3 linked regions of the Kluyveromyces lactis genome follow. The protein of the gene in region 2 binds, or shares a complex with, the protein of the main gene of each other region. Links are inferred from orthologs where the notes say so. Each region holds a gene or a part of one and is shown on either strand. Other genes may lie near its edges. The genes, in order: SPT14, GPI1 and GPI2.

Evidence for each region.
Region 1: GPI1 (region 2) and SPT14 share a complex: the UniProt entries of both Saccharomyces cerevisiae proteins name them as parts of the phosphatidylinositol N-acetylglucosaminyltransferase (GPI-GlcNAc transferase) complex. The link is inferred for Kluyveromyces lactis from reciprocal best matches to the Saccharomyces cerevisiae genes GPI1 and SPT14.
Region 3: GPI1 (region 2) and GPI2 share a complex: the UniProt entries of both Saccharomyces cerevisiae proteins name them as parts of the phosphatidylinositol N-acetylglucosaminyltransferase (GPI-GlcNAc transferase) complex. The link is inferred for Kluyveromyces lactis from reciprocal best matches to the Saccharomyces cerevisiae genes GPI1 and GPI2.

Annotation. Positions count from the first base shown.
Region 1 is NC_006039.1:837,185-845,447, reverse strand, and holds SPT14 (phosphatidylinositol N-acetylglucosaminyltransferase SPT14), read left to right. Parts: upstream 1-3,995; coding exon 3,996-5,336; downstream 5,337-8,263. Other genes in the region: OSW1 (Osw1p), read left to right, coding at 1-119; DAP1 (Dap1p), read right to left, coding at 230-688; KLLA0_C09735g (uncharacterized protein), read right to left, coding at 1,227-3,581; NIP100 (Nip100p), read right to left, coding at 5,354-7,819; CDC31 (centrin), read left to right, coding at 8,088-8,263. UniProt on the Saccharomyces cerevisiae protein: Catalytic subunit in the complex catalyzing the transfer of N-acetylglucosamine from UDP-N-acetylglucosamine to phosphatidylinositol, the first step of GPI biosynthesis.
Region 2 is NC_006041.1:1,434,658-1,443,353, reverse strand, and holds GPI1 (phosphatidylinositol N-acetylglucosaminyltransferase), read right to left. Parts: upstream 4,553-8,696; coding exon 2,672-4,552; downstream 1-2,671. Other genes in the region: RPS0A (40S ribosomal protein uS2), read left to right, coding at 110-199, 896-1,570; KLLA0_E16149g (uncharacterized protein), read right to left, coding at 1,804-1,968; RSM27 (mitochondrial 37S ribosomal protein mS33), read left to right, coding at 2,131-2,457; calcium channel protein CCH1, read left to right, coding at 4,878-8,696. UniProt on the Saccharomyces cerevisiae protein: Part of the complex catalyzing the transfer of N-acetylglucosamine from UDP-N-acetylglucosamine to phosphatidylinositol, the first step of GPI biosynthesis.
Region 3 is NC_006041.1:2,088,574-2,095,995, forward strand, and holds GPI2 (phosphatidylinositol N-acetylglucosaminyltransferase), read right to left. Parts: upstream 3,430-7,422; coding exon 2,611-3,429; downstream 1-2,610. Other genes in the region: TAF5 (chromatin modification protein), read left to right, coding at 1-2,423; KLLA0_E23497g (DUF5315 domain-containing protein), read left to right, coding at 3,738-4,133; PGI1 (glucose-6-phosphate isomerase), read left to right, coding at 4,670-6,337; MSI1 (Msi1p), read left to right, coding at 6,673-7,422. UniProt on the Saccharomyces cerevisiae protein: Part of the complex catalyzing the transfer of N-acetylglucosamine from UDP-N-acetylglucosamine to phosphatidylinositol, the first step of GPI biosynthesis.

The sequences.
Region 1 (8,263 bases), on a different chromosome or scaffold from region 2:
GTGACTATCCTTCTTTGAATCCTAGTCAGCGAACGACGAGAAATGGTTTCAGGAGTAGAAATCAGCCTGAACCTGTTTCGCGCTTCTTCTTTGAGGAAGTTGCAGAGACCATGTCCTAATCCATCATATACAGACATATAAATTATCTGGACTTGTAGTACACTAGAAAACAGAAGCATAAATAAATACAAAAATAGTCCTTAATCTCACCAAGGCCTGAACAAATATTCTAATTGTTTACACCGGGTTCAGCTTCCAAACTTCCTATGCATGGGTACTTCTTTTGGAAATGCGCAGCCCATCCTTCTAGAGCTCCCCGCTCTTGCTCGTTTAAGTCCTGGAGAGTATCTATAGGTTGGTCCCAGTGTCTTACTGTATCCAAATCAAATGAGTTTGTAGCAAGTCCTCTGGATGCATCATGTCCAGCAAAATTAGAGTATGGTCCGCTAGGCCCGTAAAATTGTCTTCCTTGGCTGCAGTCGTACACTTTCCCCAAAACTGCGATAAAGATCTTTTCATCGTCATGTCCATTGAATTTGGATAGCGTTCTGGGATAAAACTTTCCTTCCACAATTGGGTCATTTGACTTAGAGCTAGCACCTTCGTTGCCGCTACCACTTTGCGTTAAACCCGTTGGGTCAGCTGTGGTCTTCACAGCACCTGTCAAAAAGTTCTTAATAAAAGACATTTGCTTTAAGATTGAGACTTGATTATCGAAACTCTATGTTCAGACTTAGTTACAACAAAATCAACCAAATCGTAATTGAGAGTCTAATGGTATATAGATAATATTTCCCTCTGGGTCCTTTATATAGAAGATCCAACATTTTTGTATTCCTTTATTCTGAGTTGATCTTTGCAGCGAAATTACGGCCAAACCTTTTTTTTTTCATCAAGAAACTGTTGTATTCGGGTACGTTGACAACTTATGGAAGCCATACGAAACAGTTCAATCAGAGAAAACAAAATTCAGACCGATAAAAATACCGGCAGGAAATTGGTTGACAAATCTATGCACTTTAAAGTGTATCAATTGATACTTGATTACCATTTGGTAAACAGTAGCTTGTCATTTATGAAGACCTTCTCAAATGGGACTCCCATTCATAGTAAAAGTATGAATTCTTTGAAGAGTATATATGTATTGTTTTATAAAGGAAGCAGAAAACATATTTCTGCGGGGAAAACGTTATGCTGATTGGGATTGATATTGTGAACAAAAAAGTTTAAAATGAATTAGCCGTTTCGTCAATAAATGACTGAGCTGAAGATATTAGCAGATTTCCTGCAATGTTGATTTGTTTTTGAGCTTCTTTTAAATTCCCCGAAGTCAATGCATCTCTCACACCAGGGAATGACCATGAATCATAGCCATTAGTTTGGGTCCAGAGCGTTGGTCCAAAGAGAACATTCTTGTAGAATTCTCTATCGGGAATACCACTTGAAAGAGATTGTCTCTTCATAATATTCATTATTTTTTTATTCCAAGTCCATCTGTGAACCGAAACTAACGACGGTTCCACGCCTTCGTCTTCCATCATGACGATATTATTCCACGTGTGTACCCATGCGTTCCATTCGTCACTGATTTTTTTCCATGCTTTCAAACCTTGCTGAATGGAAGCGTAGTCAAAGTTATTGCCACCTTGTTTCTGTAAATCCTGGAATAAAATATCTAGATTTGAAACGTAATCACGGACATTAAAGGGTAGTAAAGGTTCGTCGATAAGTCTTAACAACATTTCATAGGTGTAAATGAGGGTATCTGCGACTTGTTCCCATGCACCTTCAGTTCCCTTAATTTCTTCAGACCAATGTTGAAAATCATCAGAACAAGTTGAAATTGGAGGAGTTTGGTTTAAGACAAATGGGGAGCTTAACACAGCAGTGGGGATGCCGTTCGCCAAGTATGCAGTCCAATCACCGTATTGTGCAATGTTTCTAACGGTTACATCAAACTGTTTAGTATTCTTGAAAAGACTCTGTAATAGTGGTGTTGCCTGGACATCAAGCGCACGACGGGCTTTCGGATCGACACTTAATTGAGAAATATCAATAAATGCATAAACTTCACTTTTTAATTGATTCATTTCGGTTTCCATCAATTCGGTGGCACCTACGTGATTATATTGCGCGCCATCATATGAAATGAAGTAGATATTTCTTAGTGGCCTCCAATCGTACTTATATTTGGTTTGTTGGAATAACTGTAATAGAGCCATCAAAGAAGACGTACCGAAATTTGGATAAAGGGTTCCCTTGCAAGTTGAATCATGACTAGCAGCGATTATGATGGCCTTATCCTTTTGTTCTTTACCCTCTATTTTACCCAACACGTTCCAGCTAGGTTGTAGTGTCTTTTCAGCGTTGGCTAGCCTTAGGTTGCATTTGACATCATCTTTTCTGCCACTAAACCAGGAGTCCTCGAATTTGATACTGGGAGAACCATCATTTAGAATTGATTTAAGTTTCAGACCCTGGTTATACGAGATAGGTATGGTTGGGATGTGCGGTACTAACTGTGACTTTTCCAATCCGATTTTCTTTGGCGAAAGAGTGCTCCAACCAGGAGACAAAGCATCACCAGTACCGTACTGAGGAATCGCTACTGAGAGTTTCTGTATGACATCACCATCATTTCCAAAGGGCTTTGATATAAAAATAATACCTTTGATACCATGTTTTTCAGCGACAAGTATCTGCTCACTAGGTAAGTTTCCATATTTCATAACGAGAACAGTATTGTCGGAAAGTAACCCGTTTTCTTTCAATGATTGGATATCAGCGACAGTCCCATAATTTGCATATATTATATCGGCATTCTGAATGTTCCCGTTACTGCTTAATGGGTTAAAATTTTCCTTTGATAAAGCAAATTCATGCACTTTATTGTCCGAAGTAGTAACGCTAAACTCAACCTCGTTTGGGAAATTCATATATCCTTGGAACGGAACCTCCTTCATTAATTTTAATCCATTATTTTTGAACGATTCTCTGATATAGTTCGTAATAGCATAATCACCTTTAGTACCAGCTAAATGAGGCATGCTGCTTAAGTATTCCATATCTTCCTCTAACTTCGCATAGTCGATGGAACGTCTCGCGTAATAGATTAATTGGTTTTTATCCGAGAACATTCCGATAGTGGCGGTGCTCTTGCTATTGGGCATCAATCCGCTCATAACCACGGTGTACACAATCACTGACATGAAAAGTATATACACAAATCTGCGGAGGATTAAAGGATTTCCCAGTTTGCTCAAATATAGATCAACCTTCGCAGAAGCCATTTGATATACCTGTACGAGAGGATCGACAACATTGTTCTTCATTGGAAATATCAAATTATCCTCAATTCTGGTCTTTAACCTTTGAAAACGACCCACTGAACTAATAGTATCTTCCTGTTCTATATCAAGTTCCATTGGAAGTATATCAGGACGCGATTCGATGTCGTATTCAGGAGGATTTGGCGGTAGTAAAGATTCATCCAGGTCAACGACATTTTCCGAAGACACATCTGGAAGACTGACATCCTCATCTTGACTGACGCCTTGGTACCGCCCTTGTGCACGAGGCATTTTTCAGGCTTTAACGAAATGCTCTATTCGCTGGCTTAACGTGGACCAACTAAATATGCTTGAAATCTCACTGCTTACTCGATAACCCCTCAAGATAATATTCGGAAGTGTATTGGAAAAGGTTACGTTTCCAAATTTCGAGGTTATTTTAAACCTTCTGTACAAAATACTCATCGAGACAACCAAAGATCGAAAAACAGTCAACAGAAAGTGGTAAAGAGTGAGGAGTGAAAGTACAGATTAAGTAACGCTAAAGTAAAGCATATTGAGAGATTTAAAACTTCAGTGCAATTATACAAATATTCTTTGTATAGTCTAACAAAAGTTGTAGCTCCAAAACGGGTTAATCTGAACGATAAATTGTTTCGATATATTAAACACTTAATTCATATCAAACACATCAATGTCTAAAGAATGGCTGAACAAAAATACAACATAGCTATGGTTTGCGATTTCTTCTACCCGCAGCTTGGGGGTGTTGAGTTCCATATATACCATTTATCTCAAAAGCTAATCAAAATGGGGCACAATGTTTGTGTTATAACTCATGCCTACGGAGATCGAACAGGAATACGATATCTATCAAACGGTTTGAAAGTTTACTATGTTCCATACTTGGTACTCTATAGACAGACCACTTTTCCAACAGTATTTGGAAGCTTTCCTATATTCAGAAATATTTTGATTAGAGAACAGATTGATGTATTACATTCGCATGGAAGTGTTTCCAGTTTTGCGCACGAAGGAATACTACACGCGAATACAATGGGGATACAGACTGTGTTTACAGACCATTCTTTATATGGATTTGATAGTCTCGGTTCAATTCTTGTCAATAAGCTACTAAAATTCACTTTATGCAACATCGATGCTGTCATTGCTGTCTCTCATACTTGTAAAGAGAATATAATACTCCGAGCAAATCTTGATCCAGATAATGTGTCAGTCATACCGAATGCGGTTGTTTCCAGCAGTTTCAAGCCTAGAGATTCAACAATAAAGAAAAAATCTAACAGAATAACAGTAGTGGTGATTTGCAGGTTGTATACCAATAAGGGAGCTGACCTTTTGACACACTTAATTCCAAAGGTTTGTACGAATAACGATAACGTCGATTTCATTGTTGCTGGAGATGGGCCAAAGTTCATTGCATTCCAACAAATGATAGAAAATAATAGGCTTCAGGAACGCGTTCAACTTTTAGGATCTGTGCGACACGAACATGTTAGAGATGTCATGTGCCAAGGGGATATATACCTGCATGCAAGTTTAACTGAAGCATTTGGAACAGTTTTGGTTGAAGCTGCGTCGTGCGGGTTACTAATAGTAACAACATCTGTCGGTGGTATACCGGAGGTCCTTCCTGAATATATGACCGTATATGCCCAGGAAACCTCGGTATCTAGTTTGATAAAGGCGATGAACAAAGCGATACATCGCATAGGACATAGCAAAGTTAATACAACACAATTTCATGAAACTATCGCACAAATGTATGACTGGATGAATGTGGCTGAAAGAACCGTCCAGGTTTATGACAGGATATCTTTAGATGTACGCTCCTTAAACAAGAATTGGGTCGTTATGCTAAAAAAGTATTATAGACAAGATGGAAATTGGGCCAGATTATTGTATGTTCTTTGCGCTATAGTGGAATATATTTTACTCTATATTTTAGAAATTCTATATCCAGCAGGTGATATTGATAGGGTTGTTAAATGGAATTCCCGCATTTGTAGAGACCCTCATATATAATGATTAATGATTAATAATTAATACTCACCTTTGAGCATTTCGTATGTATATGTCACACATAATTCATGAGTTTCTTTCAATTTTGCGAGCCTGTGCTTCCTAATGGAGGTAAACTCATTAGAGATGATAGGGTCTGCTAACTCAATGCACGTCGATAAGATATTTGCCATATTGTTGAAATCATTGAACATGTTTCTACTGGAAAACTGTTTTCGATGAGTATCAAACAATGGTATGGACAATTTGAGGCGAGATTCTTGTTCTTTTCGAAGAATAATCCTCTGTAAATCTGAGATTTCAGCGATCAATGATAATTTATCATTGTTTTCTCTAAGCGATTGGATATTGTTTAATGCCTTTGTATGAAATAAATTATTGGCGTTCTTTATTTCTTGTTCTCTATTGTTGCGATACTGCTGGTACTCCGCCTCCATGTTCACCAATTCATCCTGAAGGCTAGAGTTTCTTGATTTCACTTCTAATAGCTCATTTTTCAAGCTGGATAAGGAACCTTCCATTTCCTTATTCCTGGCATATTTCGACTCAAGAACTTCAATTTTGAGGATTAAGTCCTGGATGATTTGATCTTTTTCAGATATCGTCTGTTGGAGAACTTCAACCTGAGCTTGGGATTGTATCACATTCTTTTCAACTGAAGTGTTTCTTTCCTTGTTTTCCAACATGTCGACAGGAATTTGTTTAATTTCCTCTAAACACACTGACAACTCATTTGGTTTTTCCTGTAGGGATAGGACTGACGTTGCAAAGTGAACATAAATCGAGAATAAATTCACATCAGACTTTAAGGTTCCATTAAATTCATAAAGCTCTTCCAATTTCGTGGTGACGAAGGTGTTAATCGTATGGAAAGTGTTATACAGGCTTCTTATTCGCTGCTGATCAGATTCCTTTGACAAGTGTTCAGTATCGGACAAAAGTCTTTCCACCGACGCTTCAAGAAACATTTGAATAGCCGTAAATAGAACCCTAGGATCCGATAAAGTGATGTCTGCATTTTCTAATAGAGATAATTGAACCTTGATTGGATGACTATTTTTTACTGATTCCAATAATAAGTCCAAATTGATCTTTTCTTTCAAATATGTCACACCAGCATCATATTTAATCATCGCATAATATATGAATAAAATTAGTTGAGATGTGCATATACTCACAGCGTCTTGGCTAAGAAGTTGGTCTCTCAGGTATATGATTTTAATTTGAGAAAGTAGCTCCACTTTGTTATCCACTTTCAGATGGCTAAGCTTTGCAGAAGATACCTCGTTCTGGAATTGAAGCTCATTATTCCTTAATTGTAACGAAGTAAGTTCTGCTTGTAATTCTTCAACTTCTGGTGACATTTCTTGAGAATATTGCCCCGATTTATTTTGCAGTGATTGTAATTCATTCTTTAAGGTTTTGTTGTTTTCCTTCAATGCGTTAATTATGCTCTCGTCAGTAGAGAGAGTTTCCTGAAGTTTCGCTATTTGAGAATTTAGCTCCGATTCGACCTCTTTATAAAGTGCTTCTAGTTCTTCATCTGCCAATTGAGTTTGTTTCAACTTGAGTAACTCTGACTTAAGACAATCAAGCTCCGTACTTAATTGATGGTTTTCTGTAGTAAGAGATTCAATGATGTTATTAGAATTACTATTCGCACTGAAGTGCTGTTTCAATTCATCTAATGTTTTTGTTGTTTCAAATAGTTTACTCTCTAAGGCTGATATTGTTCGCAAATATGTCTCTGCCTGGGTTTGCAGTTCTTCATTACTATTTTTCAAACCGTTGCATTGTTTCTGTATTTCTGTTAGGTCTGATTGCAGCTTTTGTAGTGCAACCGTTAATAATCTGTTTTGCTTGATAAGGGCATCTGATTCTACTGATTCTATCTGATCAGTGTTGACATCAACGTCTGCTTTTCTTCTTATTAAAATTTCTTCTTTATAATCATTAAGCTCCTTCAAAGCACTTTCATGAGCAATGGTCAAGCTTTCTAATTCAAATATCAGTGAATCATTGCGTTGCTCTGCCTCATCTCGTCCTAAAGTTAATTTCTCCAATTGTTCCTCGAGAAATTGCACTTTTTCAAGCTCTTTTGATCTCAATCCCAGCTCCTTTTCAAACGAAATACATTTGTCATTAACTGACTTGAGTTTAACTTCCAATCTTCCAATGATCTTTTTCAATCGTTCGGGATCTGATGAGTTAGAATTCGTAGTATCAGGATCCTGAAATTGTTGCGAGTTCGGTGCAGAATTTTTATAGATACCCTCTCTTCTACTGAATATACCATACATCCGACCTTTTCTACCCTCACTGAGTTCAAAGTACCTGACTCCCTTGACGCTACCATCGTTCTTCCCTAAGGGTTCATCTAACTCAACACCGATCCAAATCCCCGCTGCAAACTGCGTCTCGCCTATAAACCGTACAGTTCCTGCCAGGCTGCGTAGCACTACCCTATCTCCTAATTCCAGATCCATTGTTTCATTTTAGAACTAAAGAGTAGTTGATCTGGCAGTACTGTAAGGTATTCATCAGTTATTGCCTTCATTTCTTTCAGGATATGTGTTTATGTTCCTTAAACTCAATATTGTCAAAATAATCATAAACATGAAATCTTTAAACATATTTTAAAGAAGTTTCACGAAGTTTACGCGTGCAGCAAAAGAGGTAAATTAAGAGGTTCGATTGACTTACAGCCAAGACTCACAACGGCAAGAAATCTAACCCAATTCGGATCATAGAAACATGAATAACAGAAGGCCCAGTGGACGAGTAGCGAAATCCGTGGATAAATCCACTTTACAAAAGGAATTATTAGAAGAACAGAAACAAGAAATATACGAGGCGTTCTCACTCTTTGATATGAACAATGATGGATATCTCGACTATCATGAATTCAAAGTCGCTCTAAGGGCATTGGG
Region 2 (8,696 bases):
ATTTCATGCATCATTATATACTTGTTCATCTCATCAACAATAATACGTTAGATAGGACAGGTTACGATTCACAATTGATAGCTCCAAGAGAACAAGAATATATCAAACAATGTCTTTGCCATCTACCTTCGACTTGACCTCAGAAGACGCCCAATTGTTGTTGGCTGCCAGAGTCCACTTGGGTGCTAAGAACGTCCAAGTATGTTGAGAAATTTACGAAATATGGATACGAACTTCGGTTTGGATAATACGTATTCGATAAGAGGAGTGGTGTTTGTTCAATACCAGAAATGCATCAATTAGAAAGAACTGTTACAAAAAAGAGAATATTGTATCACAGCAAGATTAGCTGTCATGATACTTCTGTACTTATGCTTGTACCTTGTTTTTGCTCGTGTTTTAAATCAATAACATTGGTTAGGCCTCTCCGCAGGTTAATCATGGATGTTGAATATTTGGCACGGTGCTACTAACTAAATGAGTGCTGATGTCAAGGATAATGGCTTCACTCACAAGAAAGAATATGCAAATATTTATATTTGTTGCTCTTTACCTAACAGCATAGAGGATATACGTACGTTAAACATTCTATTTCCCCTCGTTATTTCAATTCTGATTCCCTTCGAACAAGGATATCAGACTGAAGTACGAGAGGATATGGTTTTAACTGAATCTGTTAAAAGAACAACAATTGAAATGGCCTGCCATTTCTAGGGAACTAAAATAATAATAAAAAAGTACACGAACATCTCCTCTATCATATGGTAATATCTGCACTTCGAAAAGTGTATCCTGTCGCATGTTGCGGTTGGGAAAAAGCTCTCTCTTTACTAACAATATATTTTTAACTTTTGCGAACGAAACGTTTGCATGGTTATTTTTTAATTATTAACAGGTTCACCAAGAACCATACGTCTACAAGGCTAGACCAGATGGTGTCAACGTTATCAACGTTGGTAAGACCTGGGAAAAGATTGTTTTGGCTGCCAGAATCATTGCTGCCATTCCAAACCCAGAAGATGTTGTTGCTATCTCTTCCAGAACTTATGGTCAAAGAGCTGTCTTGAAGTACGCTGCTCACACCGGTGCTACTCCAATTGCTGGTAGATTTACCCCAGGTTCTTTCACTAACTACATCACCAGATCTTTCAAGGAACCAAGATTGGTTATCGTTACTGACCCAAGATCCGATGCTCAAGCTATCAAGGAATCTTCTTACGTTAACATCCCAGTCATCGCTTTGACCGATTTGGACTCCCCATCCGAATACGTTGATGTTGCTATCCCATGTAACAACAGAGGTAAGCACTCCATCGGTTTGATCTGGTACTTGTTGGCTAGAGAAGTCCTAAGATTGAGAGGTGCTCTACCAGACAGAACTCAACCATGGGCTATCATGCCAGATTTGTACTTCTACAGAAACCCAGAAGAAATCGAACAACAAACTGCTGAAGAAGAAGCTGTTGCTTCCGGTGAACAAACTGAAGAAGCCGTTGACGCTACTGAAGAACAAACCGAAGCTGCTGAATGGGCTGAAGAAGGTCAAGCTCAAGAAGAAGAATGGAACTAAACTTCAAGAATTCTTTAACTGAATTCCTGGAAGTTATTCCACCTTTTTTTTTGTTTAATTCATCATTCTATAATATAGATTCAATGCTTAGCATACTATCATTGTTATTATTATAGCTTCATGCAACAACTCTCAACCATCCGCTCATATTTTTAACTATTTTTACTAGTTTTTAAAACTCCACATCGTGTATAATTTTAATATCATTATTGATCCAGGCTAGTACCCGATAATTATACAAAGAATTGAATATTATTTAATTGATTGAACGTGCCAACTGAATATTTCCCCTTCAATGGTGCTTCAGTACCCAGTATGGCAATGTGACCCTTCTCGCATCTCTCATCGCTCTTATCCTCATCATGGTGATAATTTCCTGATAATGAAAATTTGAACATTGGAACATTCGAAAAAAAACTGAGCTTGCATAAAATAGAAACCTGCTGCAGAAGTAGTAAGTGAAAGTACCAATAAATAGGTCTTAGGTGTGCTTTAACTCTCAGCGAACTAGTTTGCGGGTTGTTCCATCAGTTATCACTCATATTTTCATATTTTGAGAAATGTCTGTACCCAAATCTAGGCTACTGAAGCTTGCTGAGATATCAGCCAAAGTTTTTGATCAAAATTTCAATCCAACAAATGCCAGAACTGGGTCTAAGATCCTAGCACAGAGGCTTAAAGGACCTGCTATTGCGAATTATTATGGTAACCCAGATTTTATCAGATTCAAGCAATTGAAGAAACTATATCCAGGCATGAACTTCGTTGATGAAGAAGAACAATATAGATTGACTATGCTTGAACTAAGAAAGCGTAGAGGTAAGGGTGCTCCAACTAAGAAGAGAGAGGCCTCTGGTGACGGTAAAAAGACCAAGAAGAGAAAGTGATCAAAATGAGCCCAGCCTATCCTTTTATCCCACTTAAAGGGACTTGCAATTAACATTTCCATCATATAAAAATACCTTGTATATAAATTATATCAGTCAGTTCAAATAGACCCAAGAATTTAACGAATTTCAACTATGTTTTTATTAAATACGAATATTCAAGTAAGATTCAAACTATGCAATCTGTGCCATTAATTGTGGTTGTGAGAGGGGTTTATATCGTATCTTGTTCCATTACCATCTTTAACTTTTTCCATAGTAAATCGATATCAATTGGATGTCTCGGTAGATTATGGTACAAAACACGATAGAGTTCATCTCTTCGTACATTAAGAACTGATCCCTGACTCACCATCTTCAAAGTCTCAACCGAGAACATCTGTCTTTGAATGGATTTCATGACGTTTGTGAATGGTTCAAAGGTCATGAAAAAGCTGATTGGATTATTCGATATTAATAAGTGATCATCATATACTTTGAACTTGATACCACCAGGTAACCTTTTAGCATCTTTTATCCGTAAAAGCAATGCAAATAAAGGGAAATGGTTGATAAGGGCCAAACTTAGTTCAAGCAACACTTTCACTGTAAGGTCAACAAATCTGAACACTGTGTATACCAAATAGAATGAAAATAACGTTGGCAACAAGAAGATTAACACCGTGAATATTAAAGTTCCCATCAATAGCTGATCTAATTCGAAGTACATATCATCAACTCTTCTACGTAACACATTTTGCTTCTTCCCATAAAACAGGTAGAATAAACTCTTCAACACATAGATATGAACATGATAAAGTTTGACACTAATCATGTAAAATAATGAGATATGCAGCGTCATGATCCACAGGAAGTCAACAGCCAGGGCCAAAGTGAAAGTGAACCCTATGACAGCACTGATATGAGACATTACTGTTATTCCCTGTCGTATAGTTTCTGGTTCAATGCACGAGCGAATCCATCCGGTATAAGTGAATTCGATGATTAACAAAAAAAGAGAGCTTAAAAACCTGGAAAGCTCATCATTAAGTTTGATACCCAGTGGGTTTTGTTCTAAAATCAACGTCACCTGCATGGGAAGCTCATAAAGTAAATACTTTAAAGTTGTACTGATATTTTGGGCCAATGTAATACGGTTTTCATATAACACAGTTCCTAGTGTGGCACCAAACGAAACATCGTTTATGATGAGCCAAAGAGTATTGTAAAGTCGAATATAATCAGGATAGGTTTCGCAGGGAAGTGCTTTCGGTAGCACAAGGTGGCTTTTACGACGTTTAGTGAAACCCGAACTCTTATCATTTTCATCTATGCTACCATTTTCATCTGTTCGAAGGTCTAGATCAGTCAATTTGACATTTTTATTAATCCTTAGATATTGTACTGGAATATAACAAAGTTGCTGGCATCTAAGGTCAATCTGCTGAGCAGTTGCGAATAACTTTACCAATGGCAATACCCTCCAATTTAAAACATACGACACAAATCCTGCAACAATTCTTATCAAGGCGGCACCATAAAAAGCTAAACATCTAATACCTCTGTAAACAGAAGTTGCACGCATCCGCAATTTCAAATCTGTTATCGAAATATTCAACGTTGATTTGTTCTTGTATATTGCATATCTCTTATAGAACACTTCGAGATGTTGATAGTATAAATTGAGATGATCGATATTCTCCCGCAATCTCGATTCCCACTTCTTTCTGATGTTAAAAACCGATGTACCATCATGAATAGCGCTATTATCTGTTGTTTCTACACCGAAATCTTCGAATGGGTTCTGTAATATTAGTGATATCGGCTCTAACGAGTAAAATTGCATCATTTTTACCTTAGGTGGATCGAAACAAATAGTTGTATATTCAGCTCTCCATTGCTCAGCTGTTTCAATTGAGTTGACATTTCCCGAGTAAATCCTCCCAAACTCGCTATAAGGCTTTTCCACAGGCCTGTACTTTGACGCCTCTATGACAGCGATGACTAAAGGATCTGAACTTGAGGTCTTCAAAACTATCACCACTAAGGGCTCATCGGCCGATTTGCATTGCCGTAAGAGTCCTGCAGGCCAATATACATAAGTCCGTCGATCCATGAACGTCCTTGCAGTTTCACTGCACCTGCTATATAACTATTTTAAGGTATGTGATTACCGTACTTCGTAATTCATTCCACAGCTTGCTATTTCAGCTGAAAGCTTTGATCTAGTTTGTTTCTAATTATTGACATGGATATTTAAACTTTAATGATATTCTGAAGCTGGTATCACGAGAGATGATTACAAAAGAAGAAACACAGAGTGCCCAACGCCAGTCTTGAATTCCTGATATAGCCTCAAGTTCGAGTATCACGTTGGTTATAAACGTAAGTTCATCCTGTAGCTTTCTTCATTACTCGACGGTTGTATTAATTTTATTTTAATGGAGGGGGGAAGTTCTCGTTCTCGATCGAGGTCCAGAAGGAATTCTGTTGGTGCATCCTTCCTTGACCTACCAATAAACTCAGATACTGCATCTGATGAGGCTAATGCACCGAATTTAGATCGAATATCGCGTTTGCAACCGCCGGTTATGACATTTTCCGCTGCAGATGACGACGATGACAAAAAAGGGCTTATAATAGAAGAAGAATCGTTACGATCATTTAACCAAGATCCATCAACTGATAGCTTATTAAATGCTAATTCGATAAGTGGTGGTTCAAACATGCTATCTATTACTGACGATGATTTACAAGATTTCAAACATTTACAAGACGATGTGAAGAACATTCTAGGTGGGGACACTTCCCAATGGTTACGGAAACCTACATCAGACGGCCACTCAGAAAGAAGTCGAAGCACACGTGGATCAAGAAGGTCATCCATCCACGAAACCGCTCCTGTTGCCAGGGATCATAGCTCTGATCTATTTACTGATGATTATGAACTTCAAAGTATTCCTATTGGAACTGATACACCCTCAGTGAATGCTTTCGGTTATCATTCATCCTATCAGACATCGACTGGTTCGATTCATTCAAATCACACTCGAAATCATGACGACGTAGGTTCTGCTCCGACAGATACGTATGACAATACTATTAATGATGAAGAAGATGACGATCCCGGAATAGATAGAACTATAGAGAGGCATCTTCAATTGTACGGGAAATCCTTAGGGTTTATTTCACCAGACAACCGTTGGAGATTGAAATGTGCCTCAATTCTTCTGAAAACATGGTACAAAGCTTTCTCTATGCTTGTCCTAACTCTCTATACTATATTTCTAGCCCATAGTGTATTTTTCGGCAGCACAGCATCAGGCGAAAAGGATTTCAGTGCTCCATCGTCAGTTTTTTCTTACGTTGCCACTTTGATATTCAACAGCTTCTTCACTTTTGAACTCATTGCCAAGGTCATTGCTTTTGGATTCTGGAACGATTCTGATTTAATGAATGCAATAGGAAAGAACTATGTTTCATTTTGGGATGTAACTGGAATAAGGAAATTTTATAGATTCTTGGAGACTCATTACTCTTCAAAATTTATTCACAGCATTATACCAATCAGAGCACTATTCCAAGAAACCATAGACGAAAAAAAGTCAGCGGCTCTCAAAAGTTCTGTCACTGTTGCAGACTTTAGAAATGTTAAATCTCCCGTCGATATACCTAGAGCATTTACTAGAAGTAGTTGGGGAAGACTTGAATTGTTGTCGACGATTTCTGCTTGGCTTGCATATGGCTTAAGTATTAACGATTATGATGATGTACACGGGTTGAGATTATTCAGGTCTTTAATGGCATTCAGAATTCTCAAACTTGTGGATTTGGACTCTGGTTTAGTTTCTATCTTAAGAGCCTTGAAATACGGAATACCAGAACTTCTAAATGTCGGTTTTATGCTTCTATATTTCTGGGTTTTCTTTGGAATTCTAGGTGTGCAAACATTCAAAGGATCTTTGAAGAGGCAGTGCGTGTGGTTCAATCCAAATGATCCATCTGATTATTATCAGTATGACATGCAGTTTTGTGGAGGATATTTAAATGCGGAAACACTTGAGCCAATGAAGTATGTGTTTGCGGATAATAGTGAAGGACCATTAGCTAAGGGATTCTTGTGTCCAGCCAACTCCAAGTGCATTTCGAATGCAAATCCGTACAATGGAAGAATCAGCTTTGACAATATTGTTAATTCTATGGAATTAGTTTTCGTGATAATGAGTGCTAATACCTTTACTGATCTAATGTACTTCACGATGGATACAGATAATATGGCAGCCTGCTTATTTTTTATTGTTAGCATACTATGTCTCACGGTCTGGATGGTCAACCTTTTAATTGCTGTCCTTTATTCGTCCTTTGAAGTTGTTCATGAGAAGTATACCATAGATAAATTTTCCACTCAAGATAATTACCTTGTGTTTAATGTGAAAAGATTGGCACATCTAATCAAAAGTAAATCAGACACAACAAAATCACCTGCATGGGCAGAACGAGGAATTAGGCTTTACGAAAAATTGGAATGGTTTTTTGTTCTTGCAATTTTTACCAGTATTTGTGCACTTGCTTCAATGAAGAGTCACAGTTCCGATCAATCAGCTCAGGATATATTCAGCGTTAACCAAATCGTTTCTTGTATTCTTGTGGTTGAAACAATATTACGGCTAATTTTATACTGTAAAACTCCATGGAAATTTTTAGCGAAGCCTAATTATGTTTATGATTTTATTATTTCAATCATTTGCGCTGTTCTTTCGTTCAATAGCTTGCGTATATCTTTGGGACAGACTTCTGCATGGCTATTGTTCTTCCCAATTTCAAGATTCTATAGAGTTGTCATACTGTTCAGTGTGACGAGAAATTTATGGAAAAAGGTATTGAAAAACGCAATAGTTATATGGAATTTATCTGCCTTTTACTTCCTATTCGTGTTCTTGGCATCATTAATCGTGTTGCTATACTTCGATGGAACTCTAGATGCCGATGATATGGAAGACACTCCATTTGGATTCTACTCTTTACCTAACGCCTTTCTGACCCTTATTAAAATCGCATCAACTGAAAATTGGACAGATTCACTTTACGCACTCCAAAGAGATTCTCCTACTTTATTTTCGGCATTGTTTGGTTCAGTTCTACTTATTCTATGGTTCATTCTCTCAAATTTTGTTGTTCTTAACGTATTCGTTGCTGTAATAGCGGCAAGTTTTGATATTGAAGAAGAGGATAAACGTTTGCTGCAAATTAAACATTACTTAAAGGTCACTTATCCGGAAAGAATCAGAGAGTTTTCCGTGGTACCTTTGCTTGAGCGTATCAGAAGAAAATTTTTGCGTAAACCGCAAATTGATGATTCTGAGGACTTCAGGCAATTTTTATTCAGAGGTACTGCTATTCTGAGTATTGCTCAGAATTACGAAGGATTCAATATGGATCTTTCAGAAGATAAGGATCATCAGTTTGCCGATAGGAACGTCAAATCGTCATTTTGGAACAGAATTCTATGGAGATTAAAGGCACTTAACTTTTACAAAACGAATCCTTTTTTTAAAGATCCGAAGGTGGTTTTTGTTCAGTCTGATGATACAACCCCATCGAACAGGAAATACACATTGAAACTGAACGATTGGGAAGAGGAAAAGCTTAGATTTTTGAAGCAGCATCCGAACTTCAATAACACGTACTTCATATTTCCACCAAATCATGCTCTTAGACGATTTTGCCAAAGACTTGTACCTCCTAGTTACGGGAAGAGGACTAACAATAGAGTTTTTTTTGATGATACTACCAATAAAGTCGGTCAAAAGAGATTCTTCTATAATATTGAGAAAGACATTTTTGTGTTTGTGACGTTTGTTGCTACCTTGTTGATGGTTATTTATTCATGCTATGTTACACCGTTATATCGCATGAATCACAACAAAAAATGGAATTGGACTACTTATTTTGAACCGGTCTTTGTTCCATTGTTCACAATAGAATTTTTGGTAAAAACTATTGCAGATGGGTTCATTTACACACCTAACGCTTATTGCCTGAATCCTTGGAACAGGATAGATTTAGTCGTATTAATTGCACTATGGATCGATTTTTTTGCGTGGTTATTAGGAAACGGGGAATTGGCAAGAATTATCAAAGCTGTCAGTGCTTTAAGAGCACTTAGATTTTTGACAATTAGTAGTATGGCAAGAATGACCTTCAAACAGGTCATGTTTGATGGCCTGACGTATATTTTTGGTGCCTGCGCAGTTGCGTTT
Region 3 (7,422 bases), about 650 kb from region 2:
CAGGAGCCACGGCTCCCGGTGCAGGCGGAAGTAGTGGCAATGGAAATAGTAGTGCGGCCGGAAATGCTAGCGCTAATGCCAATGCTGGCGGTAGCGGTGCCAGTGGGAATGCACCGGCAGCTTCTAAACCGGGGTTTTCAGCGTCAGATTTGAACCGCATCGTTTTGGAATATTTGAATAAGAAGGGGTATCACAGAACGGAACAGATGCTTCGTGCTGAATCGTCACGTACTTTGACGCCTCCAAATAAAAACGCTGCTGCTTCTAACACAATCCCTGCCTCGTCTGCATCAGCCACTGCGATTACAGGAAGTACTACCACTGCAAAACCTGTTTCAAATCCTTCGATGCCCTTGAAAAGAGATAACAACGGCCAATTGATAAAACCGCAACAGGTGACACCCTTGCACTATTTTAGAGCTTACTCAATGTTGAAAAATTGGATCGATTCGTCTTTAGAATTGTACAAACCTGAGCTATCACGTATCATATACCCGATTTTCATTTACGTTTTTTTACAGTTGGTCATCAAGGACCCCTTACAAGCGAGAAGATTCTTTGACAAGTATTCTGTCGATTACAAAGCCCTTCATGGATCAGAAATTAACCGATTATTCAGTGTCAACTCAGTAGATCACATCAAGGAAAATGAGTTGGCTCAAGGTTTCCAAACCAATAAATATAAGATCACAATCTCAAGAACTACTTTGAACCTTTTGTTGTATTTCTTGAACGAAAACGAAAGTGTGGGAGGATCTTTGTTGATTTCCATCATAAACCAAAACTTGGATCCAAATATCGTAGATGTTGTCAAATCTGAGGATATTCTCACCGACGGGATCAAAGATATCTCAACCGGTGATATTGATGTTGATACGTATAACTCGGTACCTGTGAAGTTAGGACCGTATCCAAAGGACGAAGAGTTCACCAAGGAAGTAGAGATTGAGTTGCAGAAAAAAGATGAACAAGAGGCAGCTGAGAATAAGGATAAACCTGTCGGTAAGACATTAGTTGAGGAATATAGAGAAATGAACGGTAATCAGAACAAACCAGAGGGCACTGAAAAAGCTGATGATAACACCGTTAAGGAAGAAAATGAAAATAAGGAACCTGAAGCTGAAGAGGGTGGAGAAGAAGTCGATGCAACAGCAGATACAGAAGAGAAAGGCACTCCTACACTTAGTGTCGAATCATCGGCTGCTGAAAGAAAGAAAAGAGACTCAAAGAATAAAGACGAGGAAGAAAAACCAGAGGCTTCAATTGGATCTATGATGGAATCACCAGCAAAGGATTCGTTGCCGCTACCGGTAAAAACAACTTTAGATCTAAAGATGGAAATTCAAAAAGTAAGGGAGAGTAGAGATTCCATCCAATTGAAAAACCTACAAACTTCTGCACCAAGTGTGTGTATGTACACTTTCCACAACACTAATGGTAATATGACTTGCGTAGAATTTAGTGATGATGCTAGACTAACTGCAGCTGGTTTCCAAGACAGTACAATTAAGGTATGGTACCTTGATGGATCACCGCTACAGTCGATCCTCCCATCCAAAGCTAAAGACCAATCGAACTCTGCTACTTTGGTAGGACACAGCGGACCAGTTTATTCCGTTGCATTCAGCCCGGATAACAGGTACTTACTTAGCGCATCTGAAGATAAAACTGTCAGACTTTGGTCTTTAGATACGTTCACTTGCCTAGTGTGTTACAAAGGCCATAACCATCCAGTATGGTACGTCAAGTTTTCTCCACTTGGCCATTATTTCATCACCGCTTCACATGATCAAACGGCTAGACTATGGTCTTGTGATCATATCTATCCGTTGAGAATTTTCTCAGGTCATCTAAATGACGTGGATTGTAGCACTTTCCATCCAAATGGTTGCTATGTTTTCACTGGTTCCAGCGACAAAACGTGCCGTATGTGGGATATTCAAACAGGTGATTCTGTTAGACTGTTTTTGGGACATACATCACCAGTCACCGCACTTGAAGTATCGCCTGACGGTAGGTGGTTAACTACGGGCAGTGAGGATGGCACAATTATCGTATGGGATATTGGTACTGGTAAAAGAATCAAACAGATGAAGGGTCACGGTAAGAATCCTATCTATTCCATAACTTTTAACAAAGAAGGTAACTGTCTAGTAACAGGTGGTGCGGATCAAAGTGTTAGAGTTTGGGATATAAAGAGGTTTACAAACGAGCCTGGAATGGAGCCGGAACAACAATTCAACACGTATTCAGGAGATATGGAACTCAGTGTAAATAACGATATCAAAGAATTCGGACGTAGGCGGGCAGTAATACCAACTCAGGATTTGATGGCTTCGTTCCATACAAAGAAAACAGCAATTCACAAAGTAAAATTCACAAGAACGAACCTAGTTTTGGCTGGTGGTGCATTTATTGAGTAAATGCGATTACTTTACTCAGCCAGATAAGGGTCGTTTATTCGACATATCTAGTAGTTGTCCAATTGTAATAAATAAAAAAAAAGAGAATGCGCTTTATCTTTATATTATTTACAATGAGTACGTATATTTTATGTGCATTGATATCAATGCAGTCAATGAAATGTAAATGTTAACAGAATCCTAATAACTAATCTAATATTGGTTTTTCAGCGTCCCACTGCTGTAAAATCGGATGTCCTTTATAATAGTAGCTTTCCCAGTGGATATAGTAATGAGGGATTCCAAATAATAGTAACAAAGATGATATTCCCAAAGGTATCGTGATCCCGACACCCATTAACTTCGTTATAAAATAGTAGACTGTACCATGTGTCGCAATAACACATAGTATATGCAGGAATTTCAACTTATTCTTTATGAAATACTTTTCCATCGTCGGCAGTAGAATGTTAATTTGGATACATATCAAAAGGAAACAGAAAACTTGGGTGGAGGTATCTAATCTTGAAGAAAGTACGGTCACATTTGAGAGTAGAATATTGGTCGGTAGGATTTTAGATTCAAGAGCGGAGATCGATATGATGTAAAAGGTTGTGAACCATGCAGATAGAGTCCAGATGGAATCGGACGAAGTTGTCTTGGACAAAGATTTAAGCACTGGAGATAAGGTCAACATTGCAAATATAATGATGATAGTGGATTTCCAGGGTACCCTCTTGTTGGCAACTATTAAGGAAACAGATGAAATTGAGGCAGCAATTAAAATCGGATTGTATTTGTAATGATAGAACCAGGCAAATATAATATAGAGTAACATAGTATTAATAATCATGTGGTAAAACTGGAAGAGATCAAGTAAAACAGACCTGTACGAGGAGTGAGGCCTCAAATGCCCATGTTCAATTTTCAACTTCTCCCATTGTTTGTAGAAACTTGGATCAGTGTAGGTATCTGGGAACGGCTGTTTCAACCACAATAACCGTTTCCATTGTTTCCCCGCAGCCATTAACAACTATAAGAGAAGACAATTTGTTATTCGGGAAACGACTAGCACAATATAGTCACTACAGTCTGGACAAAAGAAACCTGGAGATTTGCCGCTATACTCGCGATAAATCTCTGCGAGTGCAGGAAGTTACTTCAGTTCAACAGTCGTCGCTAGCTTTTTCGAATCATTAAAATTAGAGATTGATACGTAAAAAAGCTAATCCATTACAACTTAATATCACAGCACAGCCAGCGGGAGCACCCGCACAAGTAAGATACAAAGGATATAGCCTAACTTACTGCTCAACTCATTGCTACATATACCCAATGGATCAATCTAGCAGGGAGACATCAAATTCGTTTGATCAGGTAACCAGGCAATCTTCAAACAATGAACGAAGACCTACGGATTCTAAAGCCATACCGAGAACTTTACCCAAGGATACCGTTCCAGACGACGTACATGCTACACCAAAAGTGGATGACAAGGATAGGATATGGACAGATATAGATACACTAGATGATGTGAAAAGAATGGCCAGAGAGGGCAATACTGGCCTTACTTTCCCGGATAATTTCGAAGAGGATATTACCCGCTTACGCCAGATGCATGCGAACTTGATGCAGCACATGAAGAGACAATCAACAGAGACCCCAGGAAATCTTGAAGAACAACAGAAACACATCAATGATATCGTAGATACCATTGAGAGATATAACTGAATAAATACTTCAAATCACGTGATGAATCACGTGCCACAATTACCCTGACTTTTTGTTGAGTATTAGTGGAAGCTAAGGTTTCCAAGGACCACCGGTTTCTTCTACGTGCCTTTCACTATTTGTTTACTGGATGGTGCGAAACAAATAAAAAAAGCGGAAGCTGACAGAAATTACAAGTTGTTCCGAATAACGATGGGATATACGAATTGATGATTGAACGTAGTATGGAAAATAATAGGAACGTTGAGAAAAAAAAGGATTTGGTATTTTCCATCACCTGCGAATTTGAGGGAAATGGTTAACTTAAATCGTGGATTCTTTATATATATATATTCTCTGGTGAAGGTTCTTGATCAATTGCTTCTTCCAATTGGTATTTCGATTGTATTCTTGAGTCACGTAGAAAGGAATTTGTGATTAGGGTTTAATCGCTGAATTCTGAAGTGACCTTTTAACTGACCGTAAAGTACAATAAAAGGTTTTAAAGTTCTGTTAAGATAGATTCTAAAACAGAAATAAAAAGACAAATATCAGAAATGGCTTCTAAGAACACTTACTCTGACTTCAAGTTGGCAACTGAATTGCCAGCCTGGAACCAATTGCAATCTTTGTACGAACAAAAGGGTAAAAAGCTAAATGTTAAGGACGAGTTTGCTAAGGACAATTCTCGTTATGAAAAGTTTGCCAAGACGTTTGTCAATTACGATGGTTCAAAGATCTTGTTTGATTTTTCCAAGAACTTAGTTGACGATGAAATCTTGAAGTCTTTGATCCAATTGGCTAAGGAAGCTAAGGTCACCTCATTGAGAGATGCCATGTTCAACGGTGAACCAATCAACTTCACTGAAGGACGTGCTGTGTACCACGTTGCCTTGAGAAACAGAAGTTTGAAGCCAATGTACGTTGATGGTACCAACGTCACTCCAGAGGTTGACGCTGTGTTGCAACACATGAAGGAGTTCACCGAAGAAGTCAGATCTGGTGCTTGGAAGGGTTACACCGGTAAGTCTATTACCGATGTTGTCAACATTGGTATCGGTGGTTCAGATTTGGGTCCAGTTATGGTGACTGAAGCATTGAAACATTATGCTACCAACTTGAAGGTACACTTTGTTTCTAACATTGACGGTACTCATATTGCTGAAACTTTGAAGGATTTGGACCATGAAACCACTTTGTTCTTGATCGCATCCAAGACTTTCACCACTGCTGAGACTATCACTAACGCAACTAGTGCTAAGAACTGGTTCTTATCTAAGAACGGTGGTGACCAATCCCATATCTCCAAGCATTTTGCTGCTTTGTCCACTAACGCTACTGAAGTTGAAAAGTTCGGTATCGACACAAAGAACATGTTCGGTTTTGAAAACTGGGTCGGTGGTCGTTACTCTGTTTGGTCCGCTATTGGTTTGTCAGTTGCTCTATACATCGGTTTCGACAACTTTGAAGCATTCTTGAAGGGTGCTGAGGCAGTAGACAAGCATTTCGTTGAAACTCCATTGGAAGACAACATTCCATTGTTGGGTGGTCTATTATCTGTTTGGTACAACAACTTCTTCGATGCTCAAACACATTTGGTTGCGCCATTCGATCAATACTTGCACAGATTCCCAGCTTATTTGCAACAATTGTCTATGGAATCCAACGGTAAGTCCGTCACCAGAGGTAATGTTTTTGCAAACTACTCTACTGGTTCTATCTTGTTCGGTGAACCAGCTACCAATGCTCAACATTCTTTCTTCCAATTGATTCACCAAGGTACCAAATTGATTCCATCTGATTTCATCTTGGCAGCCCAATCTCATAACCCAATTGAAAACAACCTACATCAAAAAATGCTAGCATCTAACTTCTTCGCTCAAGCTGAGGCATTGATGGTCGGTAAAGATGAAGAACAGGTCAAATCAGAAGGTGCCACTGGTGGTCTAGTACCTCACAAGGTCTTCTCTGGTAACAGACCAACCACTTCCATCTTGGCTCAAAAGATTACTCCAGCTACCCTTGGTGCTTTGATTGCTTACTACGAACACGTTACATTCACCGAAGGTGCTATCTGGAACATCAACTCATTTGACCAATGGGGTGTTGAATTAGGTAAGGTTTTGGCTAAGGTTATTGGTAGTGAATTGGCCACTGATAACAAGATTTCTTCTCACGACAGTTCCACCAACGGTTTGATCAACCAATTTAAAGAATGGATCTAATGTGAGAATGCGATGCAATTTCCTTTTCACCTAAGATATGCAGTGAACTTAGAATTCCACATCTTTACGTACAACCAAACTAAATAAACTTCTTTATCAAAACGCTATGTGCAATGAATGACTTATATACGACAATGTCACGAATATCAACTACATTGGAAGTAATTGTTTTCACTTAATCAATCTCTTTTTTCATATTTACATTAAGGAAAATGAAAAATGATACACGTCCAAAAGATTCAACAACGCGTGATGTAGTGCGAGAGTACAGACATCGAGATTGTGACAAGATATAACAATACCAAGCTAGCTCATAGCATATAGAGGACGCAACAATGAGTGAGTTGATTATAGAAGAACCTCCAGAACTGGGCTCTGGAATTTCTAATGAAGTACAGCAAAGGTATACCAATTGGAAGAAGAATACAAAGTTGCTCTACGACTATTTGAATACAAACACATCGAAATGGCCATCTCTATCCTGCCAATTCTTCCCAGACCGTACTCTTACGAATGACAAACAAAGGATATTATTATCTTCATTCACATCGCAGCAACTTCCGCAGGATGAGTCAATTTACATCGGGTCCATATCTACCATGAATCATATGAAATGGAGTTCCATCAATAACTTCGACATGGATGAAATGGAATTTAAACTGGATAATTCATTGAAACTGAACGACAAGACATTAGAAGAAGAGGTACGAATAACGTACCCTGACGGTGATTGCAACAGATGTCGGTACATGCCTCAGAACCCCGATATAATTGGGACTGCATCATCAAATGGATCAGTGTACATATTTGATAGAACGAAACATGGTAATAAGATTTCCACAGGCAGGAAATTCGAAATCGAATGCAGAAATAACGGTGACGATGAACAGGACGAGAGTTTATCCCTTGCATGGAATTACCAATTGGAGGGTACCTTAGCTACATGTCAAAGTAACGGGAAAGTAAAAGTATGGGATCTTACTAAATTTGATAAGTCGAAACAGAGAATGGAAATACCTGAAAGAGAGAGTGTGATGGACGCGAATGGAGTCAATGATGTGTCATGGATGGTAAACCACACTTCC